3 linked regions of the Ovis aries genome follow. Each later gene encodes a partner of the first gene's protein in a complex. Links are inferred from orthologs where the notes say so. Each region holds a gene or a part of one and is shown in the gene's direction. Other genes may lie near its edges.

Region 1 (7,531 bases):
TAATAGGACTGAATCAGTTAGTCTTTGTGAAGTGTTTCGGAACAGAGCTGGGCAGATAGTAAGCACTATTATGCTTCTGTTATTACTAGATATAATTAATAAGAATACAGAGATTTAGGACAGACGGACCTACAAATCAGCATGCAGCCAAAAGAATCTGACAGTGATGGGAAAACAAGCTGGTTAATAGAATAATATGCCATCCTTGGTGTTTGGATTTTCTGGCAAACGTACAGTCTTTGAACTGCTTCAGTAAACCAAAAAGAACTCTGAATTTATGGGGTTCTGAAATATCTAACGTATGATCACAAGAAATGTGATAAAAAATGTTCTGGCTGCATTAAAGTACAACAGTTAGTGAAGGTGTCACTAACAGACAGAAAATTTAAATTTTAATTTTTTAGCAGAAAATTTAAAACAAACATTCGATTGTTTGTATGTCTTATATCGATTTAGGCTAACATGTCAGACATTGTTTGTAATGTTATTTAGCAAATACTGCCAATCCTCCAGCAGAGAATCTTTAGTCATTTATCTGGGAAACACTTCAAATGTATGTTCTATAGTTTGAAAGACACACTGAAAGATTTTTACATAAAGATGATCCCATGGTATCCAAACCCAGAATTTTCTTTCCCTCACTTTTCTGATCTATTCGCTGCCACTTTTTAAACCCTCGCTCCTCTTCGATGTCCCACCTATTAAAATTTCACATCCGGGGTCTCTTCTTTCTGAGCGATCGAGCACAAGACACCGTTTCTAACACCAGAAGTGCCCTGTTATCTCATCACCCAGGTGCTCATTAGAATCCAGGTGTTCAATCACCCAAAGGCCTCCAGGCGCATGTGTCCCAACAGGTGGGGCACCTGTACTTTCATGAAGGAGGAAACCCTTCTGGGTTTACCTCTCCAAGTCTCCTGGAGGGCAGAATTCAACACTGCAAGACATCCTCCCTATAGGTACACCTGCAGAGAGTTACAGAGAGACCGGAAACAACGAAAGGTCCAGTCCACTAAGAAGAGATGATTTATTTGGGGGCTCGGCAGCTTAGGGCTTCAGAATGTGGGCAGGTACGTCCTCTCCATACCCTCTTCAGAGGGTATACAACCTCCCGGTCCCACTATGTTCACCGGTGCCACTGTCACAGCTGTTCACCCCCACGTTTATGCTGGGTCTGGAGCCTTCCCTCTGCCTGGGAGCTTCTCTGGGCAGAAGCTGTGTTTCACTTGTCTCAGTGTCTCAAAGCTAGCACAAAGCCCATCAACAGTAGGCTCCCAAGAGTTATCTGTGAAACTGTATTGAGGCTACTATCTGAGACACCAACCATTCTTTGGAGGATCAAGCAGTCAAGGGTTAGTTTCACTTCTGACAACAGGGAGGTTCCTCAAAAGTGGGGCACTTGGAAAAATCATCAGATCCCCTCGTTGCTACTATCCTTCTGGGTTAACTTTCCTCCATTTATCTACGTGGCCCCTTTAAAATCTGTTTCCTGCCTTATCAACCCCGCCTTAATGGGCTCCTTCAGTGACCCCACGTTCACCTTGCAGGTATCCTTTCTGGATATTCAAGGCCCATATTCCTACTTGGTCACGACTGGGGCCGGCATTTCTTTTTTTTTGTCCACGGTTCCCAGCGATCACCCGGTCAAGCCAGGGCTTCCAGTCCCTGCTGGGAAGCGCTGGGGACGCCGGGGCACTGCGCCCCCGCAACCCCCCCCGCCAGCGCTGACCAAGACTCTCCCTTCTACTCTCTTTGGGACAAAGCTCCGGCAACCATCCGGGACATGGGGATCCTGCAAGGTTCCGGGGCGGGGGTCAGCGTTCGGTCAGCCAGCCCCAGAGAGAGCGGGGGTGGGGGGGTGGGGGAATCCATGGGGTGCAGTTGAAGACGTCTCGGGACTAGAAGGGCATTCACTCCCGGCCAGATCCTTATCACCGAGAACGACCTAAAGAGGGCTTGATCGCTTCTTTCCTCCCCACCATCCCATGGGCCAGAGAAATACATGACATGAGGGCAGGAAGGAGAGCCAAGAGACAGCCTCTCTCAGGCCAATCGCGACGTCCGCCACCTCTCACTTGGGGTCGGTCTCTTTCTTCACACACACGCACGCACACGACCGGCTACTTCAACTCCAGCTCTGAGCAAACTGCGCCGCACGCCTCTTCCACCGCTACCCCTTCGAGCTCCGGCCCCGGCCCGCGCCTGGCGCCTCGCCCCAGCTTTCTCGCCGGATCCCAGTTTCCTCACCCGACTGACCGTGAAGCCAGAGGCAGTTCCCCAGTCCCAGCCCCCTCGGTGGGGCTCCGGCTGCCGCTGCCGTCGTCGCTCCCCTTTCAGCCCCCGACCCGGGACCCGGCCCTGGGCTGCAGCGATGGCTCCCAGGAACGAGGCGCCGCGGCTCCCTGGACTCGGCCAGACACAGGGCGGCGCGCAGGAGAAGCCCATCGAGCTCCCCGGCGGTGGTGGCGGCGGCAGCTGCAGGAGCGGCCGCCGCGCAGGCTGATGACGCATGGGAGGGGGGGTTGTGCCTGGCGGGGGGCGACGCGGGCGGATGACGTCAAGCGGCGGGGAAGGCTCGGCAGCATGGCGTCGGTGGCGCTGAGCGAGGCGGAGAAGGTGTACATTGTGCATGGCGTTCAGGTAGCGGCAGCGGGCAGTACTGGCGCCGGCCTCCGGGTTCCCTTGGCCCTGCGGGTCGATGCCGGGCCTCGGCTTGCCCGGAAAGACTGCGGCAGGCTGGGTTTACCTTTGATTAGACCGCTATGCGGCCGGCATGTGCAGCTCTAAAGCCGCCCGTGCAGGCGTCTTTGGGACCAGGCGGCGAGCATCCGTTTAAGACTGTATGCGTACTTGGATCTTTCCGGGTCTACAAGGTTCCAAGCTCGGGTAGGACGCGGTGGGCAGTCCCTGATTCTGTTAAATCCCCTCTCAGCCTTTGAAGGCTGAGCTGTCTCACTTTTGTTAGATACATGCTCTGTCATAGTTTTTAATCTCATTGAATTTTTGTTAAGTCCTGAAGGTGAGTGTTATGTCTGCTTTACATATAAGGAACTAAGTCAGAGAGGTTAAGTCAGTTGTCTGAGGTCGTAAGGTAAGTGTGTGGTGGTATTACCGCAAAACTGGGGTTTGACTCTTGGTCGTGAAAGTCGCTCAGTCCTGTCCGACTCTTTGCGACCCCATGGACTATTCAGTTCCTGGAATTCTCCAGGCCAGAATACTCGAGTGGGTAGCCGTCGCTTCTCCGGGGTTGACCCTTGGATGTTGAACCAAAAAACACAACCAAGCCAGAGAATGGGAGAAGGAGGAATTTATTAATTGCATCAAGTAAGGGGACTTTCGGAGGAGGCAATGGCACCCCACTCCAGTACTCTTGCCTGGAAAATCCCATGGGCAGAGGAGCCTGGTGGGCTACAGTCCATGGGGTCGCTAAGAGTCTGACAGGGCTGAGCTACTTCACTTTCACTTCTCACTTTCATGCATTGGAGAAGGAAATGGCAACCCACTCCAGTGTTCTTGCCTGGAGAATCCCAGGAACGGGGGAGCCTGGTGGGCTACCGTCTATGGGGTCGCACAGTCGGACACGACTGAAGCGACTTAGCAGCAAGGGGACTCTGGGAATCTTTTCAGAAGCAATGTCTACCAATAGCAAAACTGGAAAACAGGCTAAGGGCACGTGTATAGTCATGAAGGGGCTTGAGCAGAGGAGGAGGCCTAAAGTCGGGGCAGAGGTCAGCGGAGTCCAGGCCTTAGTTGATTGGAGTCACCAAGGGGACGGCTTCCCTGGTGGCTCAGCTACTAAACGATCCACCTACAGTGCAGGAGACCTGGGTTCGATCCCTGGGTTGGGAAGATTCCCTGGAGAAGGGAATGGCTTCAGTATTCTGGCCTGGAGAATTCCATGGACTGTATGGTCCATGGGGTCATAAAGAGTCAGACACGAATAAGCGACTGTCACTTTGCTTCACTTCACCATGGGGAAGAGAAGGGCAACACCATCTTCAGGTTGTGGCCACGTTGGGGTCTTATCCTGGAGTTACCATCCTTCAGCTGAGTGGGCCCCTGAGTTCTTGTAGAACAACTCGAAGGTTCGTATCAAACTGTTAAGTATATCCATTGAAGAAAAACTAGGGCTCCGTTTTATCTGAGAACTGTTGTTTCTTCGTTGCTTTTCCATTTTTTCCTGAATTCTGTAGTTCCCTCAAGATGATTAATTACCGTGACATGTTCAAGGGCAAGCATTGTGGCCAGGAGTAGATCACAAAAAGGCTGAGGACTAAAATGGCTTCCCTTGTGTCCAGAAAGCCATGCATGCCTGGTTGCCTTTTTCCGGAACCCCCCACCCTCTCTTTGTACAGTGGAACTGGGATATAAATCCAGATCTGACTGTAAAGCCCAGCTCAAGCCTTGTGCTATTTTCCCTTTTTAAAAATAGGCACCCAGAAATAAAAGCCAGGGAGAATGCCCACGGCTTCCACTTCTCTTTCTTTGCTCTGTCCTCTGAAAGCGCGTCGGCAAAACAGGAGCAGGGAGGGCAAGTTCTGACCCCCACCCCCGCCGCATTTTTCTAGGCCTTAAATAGTATATGGACATATATTACTATTACCTTTTTAGGTAATGTTTTTCCCACGTTGGTTCTAAGCTTCTTTAGAACCCTAGTTAGCATTTTTTTGTACAACTCTTGTTTTACTTACTTGTATCTGACTGGTTTTGTTTTTTAAGTATTTTGTTTACGTGGCTATGCTGGGTCTCAGCTGAGGGATCGTCAGTCTTTGTTGCAGCATCTGAGATCTTTATTTGAGACCTGTGGGATTTTAGTTCCCTGACTAGGATCCAACCCAGGCCCCCTGCATTGGGAGCACAGAGTCTTAACCACTGGACCACAAGGGAAGTCCCAAGCTGGTTCTTATATTCAGGAATTGGGGGCAGGTTTCAGAATTTCCAGAATTAGCATTTAATCTTCTTTTCAGGTTTGCTTAACTGGCTAAATGTGTGCTTTCTTCCTCCCTGGAAAGACATTGCTAACTTCTGTCTTAGCCCAGTAATTCTGAGACCTTGGAAGTGCCTTTTACTCACAAAATACAGCTTCCTGGGCTTTACCTGGATCTTCTGGATCAGAATCCTTGGGGCTGGGGCTGGGGCTGGAGCCTGGGAATGGGTATTTTCATAAATGTTGGGAGATTTTGATGCAGTCACTAGACATTGGACCTTGGACCAGCCACTGGCTTGGTCCAGCCTGCCTGGAGTCTGCTGTAGAAATCTTTGCCGCTCTGCCTGAGGAGTTTGTAGAAAGGGGGACCCCTTTCAGGGCCAGTGAGTAGGCTGTTGTCTAACACTTGGAAATGAATTGTCCAAGGAGACACACGTGCTGACAAAGCAAGAGACTTTATTGGGAAGGGGCACCCAAGTGGAGAGCAGCAGGGTGAGGGAACCCGGGAGAACTACTCTGCTGTGCAGCTCGCAGCCTCGGGTTTCACGGTGATGAAGTTAGTTTCTGGGCTGCCTCTGGCCAGTCGTCCTGACGCAGCATCCTTCCTGGTGGCGCACACATCACTCAGCCAAGGTGGATTCCAGCAAGGAGGATTCTGGGACGTTAGTAGTATGTATGGACTGGCATCCCCTCTCTCCTTTTGACTTTTCCCAAAAGGAAAAGATAGCAGTAGCTTATTAGTTCCGCATTCTTTACCAGGATGTCCTGTTGTAAGATAACATATCTCCTGCAAATGGTTATTATAGGAACCTTAATGGTCTGGCCAGGGCAGGTGGTTTCTGCCAGTGTTTCCCCTAACAAGGTCAATGGCCTCCAGCTTCTGTTTGGATGAGGACTTGGAGTGGACTGAGCAGGGCTCCTCCCAGCTCCACCATTCACAGTAAGAGTGTAGTAAGCTAGCTCCCCCTGTGTAAAATGAGAACACTTCTGTCTGGGGGACAGAACAGGACTGTGAGGAGTGACGAGGAAAGGGAACATGGACCACCTGGCGTGCTCTCAGCCCGGAAGAGACGCTGGCTCCCAGTTGAGATTTTCCCGTCAGAAGTGTGGCTTCGTCCAGAACCATCCGTACTGTATCTGCAGCCTTCACAGTGACCCCGTGAGGGGTTCAGCCTGTGGCTGTTGAGATTTAAGCTCTTTTTATTTGGGGAGATTGAGTTGGGTTGCAAAGAGTTGGACACAACTGAGTAACTGAACTGAACTGAGAGGTTATTAAATTGTTGGATGTAGCTGTCCCTAGGCAGCTCCTGGACACTGCCTCTCCGGGGCCCCAGCATGGATCACGTGTCTGTGTGGTTCTGCCTGCCTTTCTGTCTCTGGAGACACCCCTACTTCTCTCTGCTGCAGTGTCTCCCTTCTCCACAACCACTTGCTGTCAGGCTGCCCTCCACCTGGGTACACGCCATCTGCCCATCTTTACTTCTGTGAGGCCTCTCCAGCCTCCCTCCACATCATGACCTATCAGCTCCTCTTTAACTCTCTTTCCCTGCCAAGTATTTCCCAGATCAGAGATCAGATTCTAAGGAGAGAATCAGTTTCAGGCCCCAGAGAGCTGGCCACTCTCTGGCCTGCATGCTTTTGGGTCAGGCGCTTTGCAGCTTTGCAAGGCAAACAGCATCCCATCCTAAAGGAATGCGGGCCCACCCAGCAGGCTTGGAGAGTGGAACGAGGACAACATCTGGTTTGCCTGCTGGGTCTTGGGCCTGGGCCTGCAGAGCCGGGCTCCTTCTAAAGTAGGGTGGCTTCCTAGTAGGGAGGCCAGCTGGTCTCTGTTCTCCTCCAGTGAGCTCTGCGCTCTGTGGTTCAGTTGCTCAGTCACAGCTGACTCTTTGTGACCCCATGGACTGCAGCATGCCAGGCTTCCCTGTCCTTCACCATCTCTCGGAGTGTGCCCAAGTTCATGTTCATCGACTCAGTGATGCCATCCAACCATCTCATCGTCTGTCGGCCCCTTCTCCTCCTGCCCTCAATCTTTCCCAGCATCGGGCTTTTCCAATGAGTCGGCTCTTCACATCAGGTGGCCAGAGTACTGGAGCTTTAGCATCAGTCTTTCAAATGAATATTCAGGGTTGATTTCCTTCAGGGTTAACTGGTTCGATCTCCTTGCACTCCAAGGGACCCTCCAAGAGTCTCCTCCAGCATGATTGGAAAGGATCAGTTCTTCGGTGCTCAGCCTTCTTTATGGTTCAGCTCTCACATCCATACATGACTACTGGAAAAACCTTAGCTTTGACTAGATGGGTCTTTGTTGGCAATGTGGTATCTCTGCAAGGTAGTGAGGGGTTAACATCACCTCAGAGGACCACTTCATGTGTTGGATTACAAGAGCTGACTGCCAGCTGCTATTAGGGAGTAGGACTGGGTTACCTGGGTGTGAGGAATACCAACTCTGGGCTGGGTCATCTGTCCTGTGTCAGACAAGAGTTAAACCTGGCGCCTTGGCGTCCTCATTGGTAACCTCTCTCTGGGTTGTTTTTAAGGAGTCAGTGGGTTAATACATGTAGCCAGAAGCAGAAGGAAATTCTGAGCAGGGACTCCTATGAG
Region 2 (7,391 bases), on another chromosome or scaffold:
ATAATTAAAAGTGGAGAAGACGAAACAGGGACTCTAAAAATACACGGAGAATTCCCTGGTAGTCCAGTGGCTAAGACTCCACGTTCCCAATGCAGGGGGCCCAGGTTCGATGCCTAGTCAGGGAACTAGCTCCCTCATGACACTAGGAAGACCCAGTACAGCCAAATAAATAATGAAAGACCACTTCCCCCTGCTTCCCTCCCCACCAACAGATCTCACTCAAAAAAAAAAAAAAAAAAAATGGGGGGAAGGCAGGAGGGAAGAGTAGCAAGGAGTGGAGCCAGAAAGGAAGCAGCTTTAATCAGCCGTGAGTGATGCTTTCCCTTCTCCCACTCAGTCAAGCTCACCCTCACTCCACAGGCTCAACCAATGGGCCCTAGGGATGGAGCTGTGGAGGATCTGATTGCTCAAATCAAAACCAAACCCCCACAGAGACCAGCCCAAAGGCAGGGACTCTCCCACCTCCCTCTTGCTCCAGTAACCTTTTTGAAATTACCTGCTTCAAGTAACTCCCTTCTTAGGTCTTCCCACACATTATTCACAGCCCATCCTCCTCCCATTTCTCCCTCTAGCAAGAGCTTCGCCCCAAATTCCATTTTCCTTTCCTAATGGTTTGGGATCAGATGGTCAGACCCAGCCCCACAAGGTCTGGACAGAATTCCCGCCAAGGCCTTCACCAATCCAGGCCTTTCCCAGGTCACCTCCCTTCTTCTCCCCCCATTTCCGAGGTGAGTTTTTGTCCCATCCCTCCAACCTCACTTTCAACAGTGGCTAACACTCCAATTGCCCTCATCATATGCCAGATCCAGTTCTTAGCACTTTACATATTTAATTTTCACAACAACTCTATGAGGTGACCATTGTTAGCATTTTACAGAGAGGAAAATCAGGTCCAGAGAAGAGCAGTCCCTTGCCCAAAGCTACAGAGCTAGAAAAAGGCAGATTACAGAACACCGCCTCACATGATTTAGCACGAGCCAATCTTCTTAACCACTACTCTGTTATATGCAAAATCTCAGTTCACAGCTTTTCTCAAGTCCCCTGCCTCTGTCTCTCTAAATAGTGGTTCCCATCTACATTTCTGCTGTGCGAGCATGCCATTAGCAGCATCAATCTAAAAGGAGTCTGCTCCTTTTGACAAGAAACAAGGCATTTCTCCACTGTTTCTCAGAAATATGGAGTAAGTGCTCTGCCAGGACCTCTCCCCTCATTAGTTCAACAAATATTCACTGATCACCTCCGCCTTAGAGTGACCAAAACCAACAAGGTCCTTGGCTACCGTTCTATACCGGAGGCACAGGCGCCACGACTTTTTATAAGTATTTTATCTTTATTTATTTGGCTGCACTGGGTCTTGCAGTTATGGCATGCAGGATTTTTAGCTGCAGCATACGAACTCTTTAACTGCCGGCACGTGGGACCTAGTTCCCTGATCAGGGATGAAACCCAGGCCCCCTGCATTGGAAGCGCGGAGTCTCAGTCACTGGACCACCAGGGAAGTCCCAGAAAGATTTTTTTTTTAACGCAGTTTATTTAAAAATCAGAATTGGAGCAAAGAAACACGGGGCACCATAAAAGTCCCTGAAAGGGCAACTGATGTCTCTCTCCTCCTCCTTGAAAGTAGACCGTATTGAGAAGAAAGTCTTTCCCTTACAAACACAATTTTCTCCAGCTCCTGAGGGGAGAGGTCACACCCTTCTCCCGTATTCTCCAAGCGGCCTCCCCTGGGGATGGGCGGCAATTAAGTAACTACCTCGCTCTCTCCAAGTTTTCTCCCTCCCTTAGGGTCACAAAGGAGCTGCCTGGCTTTTCTTCTCCTAAGGAAGTGGAAGTTATTCCCTTGCATGTCCTGTCCAAGTGGTTCTCCCAGCCCTCGTCCTTTCTCTCACAGCCCTTCCTTCACTTCCTACAGGGACCTAAGGGAACCCCCTCTCTCTGAAGACTGCATAAACATTCCTATACCTCTTTCGAGAAAACTTTCAGGTGCTCCAGGTACTCACAGATCTAGCCAGCCCACGAGCCCCAAGCAGCCGCAGGAGCGGGAGGCCCGCCCGTCCCAAGCCTCGACTTGGTCTCCAAACCCTCGCCGCCGCAGCCGCCACCGCCATCTTGGCTGACCATCCCTCGGAGATCCGCCCCTCTCCTCGGCGAGACCGGGGCTGCCCCTTCATAAGCCTGACTCAAATGCCAGCAACACCCTGCCAAGAAACCATACGCTACTAGTTCTGCAGCCTCTGGGACACACATGTAGGTGCATAAAGCCACCTAACTTCCCAAAATTACTCTGACCGCCTCACGTTAGTTATTCCTGTAACCGGCAAAGAAGAGGACAACCCGTCCAGAGCCTCAGGGTTTCAGGGCCGGGGGCCTCGGGTAGGACGAGCTCATGCCAAGGCCCGCCCACTCTTCTCTTCTGTCCAATGGCTTTCCTGGACTTTCGAGGCGGGAGTGGGAGGGTCCAGATTGTTAGTAAACGCCGAGCCACGTGCGGGCGCCACTCCTGGAGCCCCCGGGTCGGCGCGTGCGTACAGCGTACGCACCTCGTACGCAAGCGCGCGCTTCTGGGAGGAAGCAACAAGCCCCGGCTGCACGTGGGCTCCGGGGCTATGGAGGGGGCAATGCAGACTGAATCGAAGATTCGGGCTGATTCTCGGACAGAGCCCGGCCCTAGGGGCCCCGGCTGTAGCCTCCGGCACTTTGCCTGCGAACAGAACTTGTTGTCCCGGCCTGATGGCTCTGCCTCTTTCCTGCAAGGTAGGAACTACTAGGTTGTATTATTTGGTGGGGCGGGGGGCGGTTACAATGTATCGCGCTAGCTGGTAAAAATCTCTCCTGAACTAGTGCAGTTCTTGCCTGGGTGGACACTACTGTATACGCAGGTAGACATATATCTCTCCCTCCAGACTAGCAAGGAGAAGATTGTTAAAGTACGCAGAATGGGAGAGGGCAGACCGCTTCTAAAGAATGAATACTCCAGAATAGGGGAAATATTCTTACCCCGGGGTCTCCCTTGACTGGATTCCTCTCCGGTTTCCCATACACGCACCCTGGGTCCATACATCCCAGGCTGAGGCAAACCTGTTTGTTTGCATAAATACCCAGTGGACTGTCAGATCACCACTTCTGGTGTACTCCCTAGCCCGGTGGCAGATCTTTTATCCAAATAGTTACTTCTCAGATGGATGGTGATGTCCCCAGCCCCACCTCTTGGGTAAATGTCCCTTTGGCTGGGATACACAACTCTGCTTATATCCCTAAGATTGGAGCAGTTCTTACCTATTAGGGAAATATCCCCTTTTCCTAGCTAAACAACTCTGAAACTAGACTCAGTTCCCTGACGCCTCTGAGGGAAATGTTCCTCTGGAGATAGGCCTAAGGGTCACCCCCATAAATGCTTCAGACCCTGCTCTAGGGCATTACCTGAAACCCAAATACAAAACCTGCTTTCATTCATTCTTTCATTGAACATGTACCTTTGCTTAGTATTGTTCTGGACACTGAGAATAAGTAAATAAATTTTTTAAAAATCCCTGCGGTAACGGATTTGACATTCTTACATTCTAGTCAGAGAGACAGGCAAAAGATAAGTAAAATATGTAGTAGAAAACAAGAAAAATACAGTAAGGGTGTAGATTGGGGTGTGCCAGAGAGGGTTGCAGTCTTAATTAGGATGGTCAGGAAAGGCATCAACTGAGATGGTACCTTTTGAATAAACACTTAAAGATGGGACTTTCCTGGTGATCCAGTGGCTAAGACTGAGCTCCCAATGCAGAGGGCCTGGGTTCAGTCCTTGGTAAGGGAACTAGATCCCACATGGTGCAACTAAGAGTTCGCATGCCCCAACTAAAGATCCTGCGTGTTGCAGTGAAGACCCAGTACAGCCAAATAAAAAAATTTTAAAGCAGTTTCTTTCCCTAAAATTGGCTTTTTGCAGGGGGAGCAAACCCTAAACAGATCAAGAGGAAAGCTTATGAAGCATTAGGAACCACAGGGCCCTGAGGCCAAAACTTGCCTGGTGTGTTTGAGGGACAGTCAGGGGGACGGGGTGCCTGCAGCGGTGACAGGAGGTGGGGTGGCGATAAGGAGACCTGCCCCTCATATAAAGTCTAGTGACTGAGAATGGAGACTTGTGACATGCTCTGAATATATATTTTTTTTATAGATTTTAGACTTTCTGGCTGCAGTGTTGATGGCAAAGGGCACGGGGGAAAGGAGAGGAGGGTGGTGCAGACCAGAGTGGAAGCAGTACAGGTGGTGAGAGTCTGAAGGCAAACTGATAAATTGCAGCTGGTTTGGTTTGGGGGTGTGACAGGGTCAGTTTTTTACCCAGACCAGCTGTGCTGGGAGACAATGAGTTCAGTTGGGAACATTACATTTGCAAGGCCTAATAGACTCTCCCATGGCAGTGTGGATTCGGCAGTCGGACATACAAGGCTGGAATTTGGGAGTCCTTTGGCAGTTCAAGCTACTGATTGGATAGAATCAACAAGAGAATCAATATAGGTGGAGAAGAGAACTTAGAACTTAGCCCTTTGCCTTCTAGCCTGGGTGGAGCTAGGAAAAGACATAGAGAAGGAGCAACTAGTAAGGTAGGAGAAAAACCAAGAGAGGGCAGCGACCTGGAGCCCAGAGAACGTGTCTGAAATGTAAGGACCAACCGTTTTGGTCCGGCTGAGAGACTGAATCGTGAGGATGGACTAGACCTGTGGGTTGACAACCTGGTTGTCTATTGTAGGTGGTGCAGCCAAGAGTCACTCTGGGACTTCCCTGGTTAAGATTCTGAGCTCGTAGTGCAGGGGACACAGGTTCGATCCCTGGTCCAGCAAGCTTCACATGCCTTGCATCACAGCTACTTGAGCCCACACACCCTAGAGCCTGTGCTCCACCACAAGAGAAGCCAGTGCAATAAGAAACCTACATATCACAACGAAGACCCAACGCACAGCCAAAAATAATAAGTAAAATGTAAAAAAGAAAAAGCTGTTCCGGTGGAGGGGTGGAGTCGAGGAAAAGAAAGAGACAGTGAGCAGAGACCGCTCTTCAGGAACTTTGCTGTAAAAGGATAAGATAGATGGGCGAGGAGTTAGATGGATGTGGGGTCCACAGGGGAGGGAATTGCTAGAGCCATGGCCTCAGGAAGATGAGAAGAGAGGCACTCTTGTGCCCAGGTGAAGCACAGACAGTGCCTTTGGAGTAACAGGAAGGAAGACCCCGGTGTGGATCTATTTCTGCTTGGACAATTTCCTCCTCCAGGGTCCATTCTCCTGGAGCCAAGAGAGCCCCTCAGTTGTATAGCAGCTCTTCCTCGCCAGCCCCAGAACAAAAAAGCCTCTGCCAGGGACCTCTCCAGGCTTAGATCTCTTGCTCAGTGCAGGTGCCTGGAGGTTCTTAGAATTTAAGAAATACTGAGCCCCTTGTGTGTTCTAAAAAAGAAAGAAATACTGAGCCCCTTGTATGTTCTAAAACCCCAAAGCCCAGGACCCTGGAGCAGGGTCCTCTGCAAACCCTCACTAGACTCTCCAGTGAGGTTAAAAATGCCAAGCCCCAGAACCCACCTATGCCAACTAAGGCTAGCCCTCTTTGTCCTTATTGATTAGTTGCTCAGTCGTGTCAGCCAGGCTTCTCTGCCCATAGGATTATCCCAGCAAGAATACTAGAACAGGTTGCCATTTCCTCCTCGAGAGGATCTTCCCAACCCAGGGATGCCAGCCCTCTGTATTTTTAAATGATCTGCTGTAGCGATTCTGGTTGCAGGCCTGTGTTTTGAAACCGTGCTGGAGCTCCATGTCTTCCCACTGCAGGTTGCAGGTCCAGCTGCACATTAGAATGGCCTGTTGGAGCTCTGAGGCTCCCAGTGCCTTAGCCTCAGCCCCCAGCAATGGGATTAAGGCTCTCTAGAGGAGGGGCCTGGGCATCTAGATCTTTCAAAGTTCTGCAGTAAGCCCAGTGTGCATACGGGGTTGAGAACCACTGTGTTCACTAGTGGGTTTTTGTTTTTGTTTCCATCTTATTTCTGTTCTTTGGTCAGGTCAGGTGTTAGCTGTGGTGCATGGACTTAGTTCCTCCACGGCATGTACAGGCTTAGTTGCCTGATCGGGGATCGAACCAGCATCCCCTGTATTGGAAGGTGGATTCTTAACCACTGGACCACCAGGCAAGTCCCCTTTAATGGTTCTTTGTAACTGAAATATAGTAGAAAATCTCCGAGTACGTCAAAGCAGTAACAGTAAAGAGTTGTTTTGGGAGGCGTTCATTCCATTTATATCCACACAGATTTGTGTGAGTTTTGGGTCCTGAAGTGTATTTGAGTCTAAAATGTATTTCTTACAGGGAGTTAGGATCAGGAATGTTTGGAAACTGCTCTTGTAGTCCAGTCTACCCATTTTGCTGATGGGAAAACTGAGGCCCAGAGAAGTAAGCAAAATCAGCTGAGATTACAGAGCCAGGAGGAAATAAGCAGGTGTCAGGAGCCAGCCCTAGATATTCATCCGTTTCTCAGGTGTCCTGACTGCTACAGAGTTTGGGGACGTGAGCTAGAGGGAAGAGAACTCGGCCTCGGGGGAGCTTTGGAAGGAGAAGTTGGGACCAGCAGCAGTAAGAAGGAGGGTTAGCACTCAGGAAGAACTTCCTGTTAAAGTTAGTAATAGTAGCTAAAGTCCTTTGGGCACTCAGCAACTTAGCAGGCAGCATCCTAAGTGTTTCTCTTTTTATCTAATTTAATCCTCATAGCTGTGAAGGATGTCCTATAGGTGTTTGCTTTTTTGTTTTTTTTTTTGTCTGCACTGGGTCTTAGTCCCAGCATGCAAACTCTTAGCTGTAGCTTGTGGGATCTAGTTCCCTGACCAGGGGTTGAACCCAGGCCCTCTGCACTGGGAGCTCAGTCTTAGCCAGTGGACCACCAGGAAAGTCCCAGGGACGTACTGTAGTTATCCTCATTTTACAGATGAGGAAGTAGAAGCAGAGACATGAAGCAAATGCTCAAGGAATCGCTGCCAACAAGGGGTGGGCCAGAGTGAGGGTGACGTGGGGACCCCTGGCCACCCAGCTCAGGGCCCACAATGTTAAGTTCCTCGTGTCAGACCCCAGAGGCAGGGAAGATGCAGGTGAGCTCGCCCATGCTTTCTCCCCAGGGGATACCTCCGTCCTGGCCGGCGTGTATGGGCCAGCCGAGGTGAAGATCAGCAAAGAGATCTTCAACAAGGCCACGCTGGAAGTGATCCTGAGGCCGAAAACTGGACTGCCTGGTAACTGGTCCTCTTGCCCGGTGTCCCCATCACTGCCCTTTCTGGTCTTCACTCCTCTCAGCTCCCCTCAACTGTTTCTTTTTCTCTAGCTCTCTGCCTGTACGTCTCTTATCACTTTTCTCCCTGTCTCTCTCCATCTTCTCTCCC
Region 3 (7,163 bases), on another chromosome or scaffold:
TTTTGATTTTCATTAACATCCTTTCCCCTGAATCCTGGTCATAAGTACAATTCTGTGTGCTGAATTCTTTTAGTTCTAGTAAATAACTGAATTCAGGGCCACGGCTGCTCTTGGGGATCCTCAACACAGCTCCCAAATCTGTATAAGCTTTATAGCCCTCAAACCTGAATCCACCCAGGTGTGTATGCTGTGACTAGAACACAAAGGCCAGAGAACCAAGGGGTTCTCATTCCTGAGGTGCCCAGACCTTAAACCAGAGATACTACTAGGGGTGGGGGCGGGGGAGGACACTTCCATGAGGGGCACAGTGAGACATGCAGTATGAAAAGAACAGCCACCCCCCCAGTCACTTTGGGCTTCTTAGGCCCAGAACCAACATTATTCTGATTATCCTGAGCTGCTAGGGCCAACCATGCAACAGGTGGGGCACCCAGGGGCTTCCACCTGTGTCAATGGACTACAGCAATCTTGACCTAGTAAGAACAGAAACACAAAGTGTCCACAGTGCTGAGAATAAGGCCTGTGTGACTCCACCGGTAACCTGCTCAGTCCAGCTGAAGAGCCGAGGGTGAGGGCACTGAGCCAAACAGAGGATGACGGCCATCAGGGCCATGGCCCAGGCGCAGACAAGGCCTCGTGCGGCAGTATTCCAGACCACCTTGGAGGGGTCACTGGGCCTGGGACTTAGGCCCAAGCCCACCACAGCACGTCTGTTCCACTTGCTCTTCCCACAACTTGACACTGAACTGCTCCTGTGGGCGGGGAGGGAGGACCATGTCATCTCCCCTTGAGCCTGGCAGACCTTGGTGACTGCCTTGACCCACAGTCTGGCAAGAGTGACACTACCTGACTTCTGGAGGCTAGGTCTTAGAACGCCACAAACACCCACTTTGTCTTGGGAGTCCACCTTGGTGCCGTGCTTTGCGGAAGCCCAGGCTGGATGGAGAGGCCACATGAAGATGTGCTCTCTCTCAGAGCCTCAGTTGAGCCCTGGCCAACAGCCACCACCTGCCACCAAAGACGTGAAGGAGGAAGGCTTCACGACAATGCCAGTCATCGCCAGTCACCAATGACCACAGACAGGAAAGCCCCGAGTGCACACCGCCCTCAGCCCCAGTGAATGTCGCCTCCCTATAGTCAGTGTCACAGCCCTGCTGATTTATCCTTCCCTATTCAAACCTGAAGCATGGGATCTGGTTTCTAAGCACTGCAGAGGGGCTGAATAATGCCCTAAAGTTGTGTCTGACTCTTACAACCCCATGGGCTATAGCCCGCCAGTCTCCTCTGTCCATAAGATTCTCCAAGCAAGAAGACTGGAGTGGGTTGCCATTTCCTTCTCCAGGGGATCTTCCCAACCCAGGTCTCCTCCACTGCAGGTAGATTCTTTACCAGCCGAGCCACCAGAGAAGCCCGAATAATGCAAATGAGGAGGGTAATGAGCTCCCTGATGGTGACCTTGACCACCAAGCAAATGGTATCTGGAAACAGGAGGCAGCTGTGGAGGAAAACATCTCATCCCCCCTCCTGTGAGCCCCTCTGCTGTTCCAGGGCATTTGACATCAGGCCACGAAATGCAAGAGGAATGGCAGTAACCCTCTGAAGAGGGAAGGATTATGTAAAAAACTTTTAACATTTATTCCAGGTGGGAAAGGACGGAGAATCTAACTCCCACACAGCCTTCACTCAACCCCGGGACACACATCCACTGCCCACAATGGGGTGGTTGCTGGGTACATTCTACTTATTACTTGATACTCGTATCAACCAAAAAACTATGAGTTCCACAGGATTACTTGGACAGATTTTATATTTTTGAGTTAAATGCAAAAGTGTATGAAACAATCGCATTTTAAAAAATAAGAGTTCCAAAGGCCACTATATGGCTGTACATGTACAGCTGCATATACACGTGTCTGTGTGTGACCTGGATGTAATTATGAGTGTGAAGAAAAACGGAGCCATTTTTTAAGCTATAGTAGATAGGGGGATGAGTGCAGAGAAACAAGGCAACATGGAAAATTGAAACTAAAAAATTTGACCATGTGTACGTACAACATAAATGTGTCTGCTTTTTAAACGGACAAATGTAAAAACTAAACGGTTTAAAGAAAAAAAAAAAACAACTGCGAACAGAGAGTGTATCTCAGCTTGGGAGAAGGCCTGCATTTATGACCGCGGAAGAACTTAAGACCAGCAGTGGCGGCTATCGCCCGCAAACCTCGAGGGAGATACCAAGCGTCAAGCAGAAGTAAAGGAGCGCCAGCGGCGCGGGAAGCGCGGGGCTCAGTGGAGAGGCCGAGGGAGAGGCGGCGGCGCGGGGCGGGCAGGCCCGGATGGTAGAGGGAGCCGTCCCCATGACCAACCCGGGAAGAAACGACACGGCGACTCCACGTCCGGCATGCCTCCAGCCCTGCAGGCGCGAGTGCGTACCCCAAAAGGCCGCAAGGGTCCCTCCCCGGGCCCACAGCCGCAGTTCCGCAAGGACCGGAAATGAGATGTGGTGCCCTCGGGAACTCTGGGAGAATCGCAGGGGTCCGGAACCGGAAGTCGGAGTCGGTGCCCCGGAAACCGTAGTCCTGGGGAATCGGAAGTGGGGAGTCAATTCTACCGGGAAGTGTAGTTCTGCCGGGCGCTCAAGCCTGGCTAGCGCCCGGGCGGCATGGCTGGGCTGGAGCTCCTATCGGACCAGGGCTACCGAGTGGACGGGCGGCGCGCTGGGGAGCTGCGCAAGATCCAGGCGCGGATGGGTGTATTCGCGCAGGCCGACGGTTCGGCCTACATCGAACAGGGCAATACCAAGGCGCTGGCGGTGGTCTACGGGCCTCACGAGGCGAGTGGGCGCGCGCGAGCCGGGCTTCCTCCGGGGGTGGCCACTACGGGCTGTGAGGGGCTACCTGGCTGAGTAGAGGCCTCGGGGGTGAGGCTGGCGCGCGCCGCCTTGTGGGGCCGCGGCCAAAGTCCTAACAGTGTCTTGCACGACGGTCCCTGCCTTTCTCCAGCGCTCGCTACACCGCTTTGTTACTCCTAAAACCGCCAGGGCCGCTCTCACTGGCTCCCTCACCTCTCAGCTCCACTCCGACGTCACCTCTGGGTGACACCTCACCCCATCCCACCCCAGACCACCTTACCTACCCTTTACAAGTCAAGTTCCCTCCTTTACATCCACACACTTATCTGGTTTCCCGCACCCGCCTCCTCAGACATCAGTTTAACTTATTTCTCACTGTTTGTCTCCTCACTGGAACATAAACTCCGTGAAGACAGAGAGTGTTAATAAAACCGCTTGGGTTTATCACCACTCCAGCGCTGGAGACTTAAGGCCAGAGAGGTAGAAGTAAGCATGGCACTCTTGCAGAGCAGAAAGACTGGTGATGGGGAAGAGGGTGGTAATTCCAAATGAGACTGAGGGATTTCTAGGGAAGCAGGAACCCAGGACCTTTGTAAACAGGGAAAAGATTTAGGATTTTTATCTCACGCGTGATGGGAACTCTTTATAAGGTAAGCAGTATATGTATTGTGCAGAGGAGGTAGAATCAGACTTGATATATGTAAACAGATTCTCATACAAAGGAAGCATGGGGTCGAGAGAGGACGAGTCAAGAGGGGAAACAGGGAGGCCTGTCAGGAGAGAGATCCAGGGACGATGGTGGCTTAGAGCCTGGCCCAATGGCCCTCCCTCGGGCTGTGTTGTTTTGCAGGTAAAGTGGTTGCTTGTTGGGATGTTGGAGGTAGAGGGAGGAAGGGCCTGGCTCATGTGTTCTCCCCCACCCTACCCCAGATCAGAGGCTCCCGGGCACGAGCCCTGCCTGACCGGGCCCTGGTGAACTGTCAGTACAGTTCTGCAACCTTCAGCACAGGGGAGCGCAAGCGGCGGCCACACGGGGACCGCAAGTCCTGTGAGATGGGTCTGCACCTGCGTCAGACCTTCGAGGCAGCCATCCTTACACAGCTGCACCCACGCTCCCAGATTGACATCTATGTGCAGGTGAGCAGGCAGCAGCCCTCAGCCTGTGGAGGGGAGAGAGAAAGGAGGAGTTGGGGTTCAGCAGCTTGAAACTCATGCCACTGGGGGGTTCCTGCAGGTGCTGCAGGCAGACGGCGGGACCTACGCAGCTTGTGTGAATGCAGCCACGCTGGCAGTGTTGGACGCGGGGATACCCATGCGGGACTTTGTGTGTGCCTGCTCAGCTGGCTTTGTGGATGGAACAGCTTTGGCAGACCTCAGCCATGTGGAGGAAGCAGCTGGGGGCCCCCAGCTGGCCCTGGCCTTGCTACCAGCCTCAGGCCAGATTGCACTGCTTGAGATGGATGCCAGACTGCATGAGGACCACCTGGAGCAAGTGCTAGAGGCCGCTGCCCGGGCTTCCCGGGATGTACATACCGTACTGGACCGTGTGGTCCGGCAGCATGTACAAGAGGCCTCTGTCTTGCTGGGGGACTGAGCACAGGGCCACCCAAGCCCAGAATAAAACCTAAGCACCTTTCACTGTACTTTTATCTCTTCCCCACCGCACTTCCTTGCCCTTGGATCCTGGCCTGGTGCTGGCTCTAGCAATGACTAAGGGTCCGCCCCCAAGACATGCACTACACACCCCTTGCAGCCTCAGTGCTGCTCACCCTGCTCATCAGGGTGCTTCAGGTGAGCACCCTGAAGAAGGCGGATGTCCCTGGATGAAGTGAGCAGCCTGGGCCAAGAAGGGATTGCTGGGCAGTGAGACACAGCCTGGTATAACGAGCCATGCCCCACGACCATGGAGTCTGTCATTCTCATCCCAACACATCCAGAGTCCTGAGCACAAGTCCTGAGGGGTGGCTTTGGGTATTCACTATGGTCATGTGGGGGCCGTGTCCCACATCCTCTGGATTGTGGCTGGGACTGAAGGGTCTCTTGCCCTCTAGAAGCCTTTTGGGCCTGTCCTGCTACTTCCCTTGGGCTCCAAAAGTACAACAGACACATAATGTCACCTGGCGTCTTCTCAGTCCTGACCCTAAGACAGACACTGCCTGCTGCCCCACCACTGCACCTTCCTCTTTCAGGCTCCCCCTTCTTCCACCTCAGACTTGACTGAGCCCTCACCACCAGGCCCTGCAGCCTGAACCAAGGGGCTGCTCCTTCTCTAATATCCCAGGCACCTCCTGGCCCAGACAGGGGTGCTTCCCACTTTCTACTCAACACACCCCAGCTCCTTTGAAACCCCTTGGCCAGTAGTTTCATGCACCTTCTTCCCTGTGGTCATCGGACCCCAGTGATCTTGGTTCTGGACACATGCCTGATTCCACTCGGCTGGTTTTGGTTATTGACATCCATAGGAATGGACCCACCAACCCCTTGGCCTCTCTGCGGAAGCCCCCTCACATCCTACCACGGCTGTTAGACCGGTCAGTGCCAGTGGGAGCACCTTCAGAGATCTGGCGTCTGTGTTCTTATCGCCGCTTCCGCTTTTACTCCCAGCTGCCCTATTCATCACTCTTCTCTGATTCCAGTTGGAGCCGAGCTTTCTCGGGCGGCCGGTAGTCTTCATTGCCTCCGGTGCGGCACACTGCGGGTAGCCTACCTGGGGGCCGCTCTCTCTGGACGGGCTACAGGCTGGGGAAGCCGGACCCGGCTTCGCTCCCTCCACAGCGGTTCTGCTCTGGGCATGCGCAGCGGCGCGAGGGCCGTCGGGACCGGAAGTACGGGCGGGCGCGGAGCCCGGGTCTGACAGGAGCGGCGCGCGGGGTAGGCTGCCGTAACTGGCAGTGGGAGCGCTGTCCCGGAGCCGCCCGGCCCTGCCATGGGCCTCCTGTCGGACCCGGTGCGCCGGCGCGCCCTCGCCCGTCTCGTGCTGCGCCTCAACGCGCCGCTCTGGTGAGGGCGGGGCCCCGGGGTCAGAGGCCCCTCAGACCGCTCGCGCCCGTCCCCTCCCGCCCACTGGGATCAGTCGGGGCCTCAGGCTTGGGGCTCAGCTCTCCCGTCGGGCGTCCCGGGACTCAGTCCAGGTCCCGCAGATATGCCCTCTCCACTCCCAGTGCAGAGACAGAGGCAGGGCCTCTAACGCTCCGGTGGTCCCTCCGTCTCTCTCCCCGCAGCGTGCTGAGCTATGTGGCGGGCATCGCTTGGTTCCTGGCGCTGGCTTTCCCGCCGCTGACCCAGCGCACTTACATGTCGGAGAACGCCATGGGCTCCACCATGGTGGAGGAGCAGTTTGCGGCCGGAGACCGTGCCCGGAGCCTTGCCCGGGACTTCACTGCCCACCGCAGGAAGTCGGGGTGAGCGGCCGAGCTATGGTTATCAGAGAAGCAATGTCAGTCAAGGCCAGTGAACTCTGCTCAGAAGCTCTCTTTGTGTCTCCAGGGCTCTGCCAGTGGCCTGGCTGGAGCGGACGATGCGGTCAGTGGGGCTGGAGGTCTACACGCAGAGTTTCTCCCGGAAACTGCCCTTTCCAGATGAGACTCACGAGCGCTATGTATTGTGGGGGAGGGGTGTGCCTGCAACCGTGAAGCACCTTGAGGGGGCGGGGGGATGTCCTGGGGCCAGAGCAGTCACTGGTGGGCATTTCTAGGACTAGAAGGGGAGGCTCTCAGCCGCCTCGAGTGCGGTCGTGCTGAGGCTCCCCCCCAAATACTGTGTGCAGATGGTGTCGGGCATCAACGTGTACGGCATCCTCCGGGCACCTCGCGCTGCCAGCACGGAGTCCCTGGTGCTCACCGTGCCCTGTGGCCCTGACTCAACCAACAGCCAGGCTGTCGGGTTGATGCTGGCTCTTGCTGCCCACTTCCGGGGTGAGGCTCAGGGGCTCCTACTGGCAAGAGAGGGTTTGGCCCCCCTCTCAGACCCTGCTGACCTGCTTCTGGTCTCTAGGGCAGATTTACTGGGCCAAAGACATCATCTTCTTGGTGACAGAACACGACCTCCTGGGCACTGAGGCTTGGCTTGAAGCCTACCACGACGTCAATGTCACTGGTGGGTGCTCTTGCCTGGCCCTGGCCCCTCCCAGGGCCACTGTCATCACTGGTCACTTGTTGGCAGCTCACTCACCTGCTTCCACAGGTATGCAGTCATCGCCCCTGCAGGGCCGGGCTGGGGCCATCCAGGCAGCTGTGGCCCTGGAGCTGAGCAGCGATGTGGTCACTAGCCTTGACGTGGTTGTGGAGGGCCTCAATGGACAGCTGCCCAACCTGGA

Evidence for each region. The genes of interacting proteins can lie anywhere in the genome.
Region 2: EXOSC7 (region 1) and EXOSC5 share a complex: the UniProt entries of both Homo sapiens proteins name them as parts of the RNA exosome core complex. The link is inferred for Ovis aries from reciprocal best matches to the Homo sapiens genes EXOSC7 and EXOSC5.
Region 3: EXOSC7 (region 1) and EXOSC4 share a complex: the UniProt entries of both Homo sapiens proteins name them as parts of the RNA exosome core complex. The link is inferred for Ovis aries from reciprocal best matches to the Homo sapiens genes EXOSC7 and EXOSC4.

The regions. Positions count from the first base shown.
Region 1 is NC_056072.1:54,174,103-54,181,633, reverse strand, and holds the start of EXOSC7 (exosome complex component RRP42), read left to right. Parts: upstream 1-2,549; 5' UTR 2,550-2,583; coding exon 2,584-2,640; exon of another isoform or gene 2,641-2,886; intron 2,887-7,531. UniProt on the Homo sapiens protein: Non-catalytic component of the RNA exosome complex which has 3'->5' exoribonuclease activity and participates in a multitude of cellular RNA processing and degradation events.
Region 2 is NC_056067.1:50,090,968-50,098,358, reverse strand, and holds the start of EXOSC5 (exosome complex component RRP46), read left to right. Parts: upstream 1-2,419; 5' UTR 2,420-2,420; coding exon 2,421-2,754; intron 2,755-7,130; coding exon 7,131-7,244; intron 7,245-7,391. Other genes in the region: BCKDHA (2-oxoisovalerate dehydrogenase subunit alpha, mitochondrial), read right to left, coding at 2,001-2,108. UniProt on the Homo sapiens protein: Non-catalytic component of the RNA exosome complex which has 3'->5' exoribonuclease activity and participates in a multitude of cellular RNA processing and degradation events.
Region 3 is NC_056062.1:13,708,127-13,715,289, reverse strand, and holds EXOSC4 (exosome complex component RRP41), read left to right. Parts: upstream 1-2,600; 5' UTR 2,601-2,659; coding exon 2,660-2,830; exon of another isoform or gene 2,831-3,778; coding exon 3,779-3,985; exon of another isoform or gene 3,986-4,008; intron 4,009-4,082; coding exon 4,083-4,442; 3' UTR 4,443-4,491; downstream 4,492-7,163. Other genes in the region: GPAA1 (glycosylphosphatidylinositol anchor attachment 1 protein), read left to right, coding at 5,775-5,848, 6,070-6,249, 6,335-6,446, 6,615-6,762, 6,842-6,943, 7,031-7,163. UniProt on the Homo sapiens protein: Non-catalytic component of the RNA exosome complex which has 3'->5' exoribonuclease activity and participates in a multitude of cellular RNA processing and degradation events.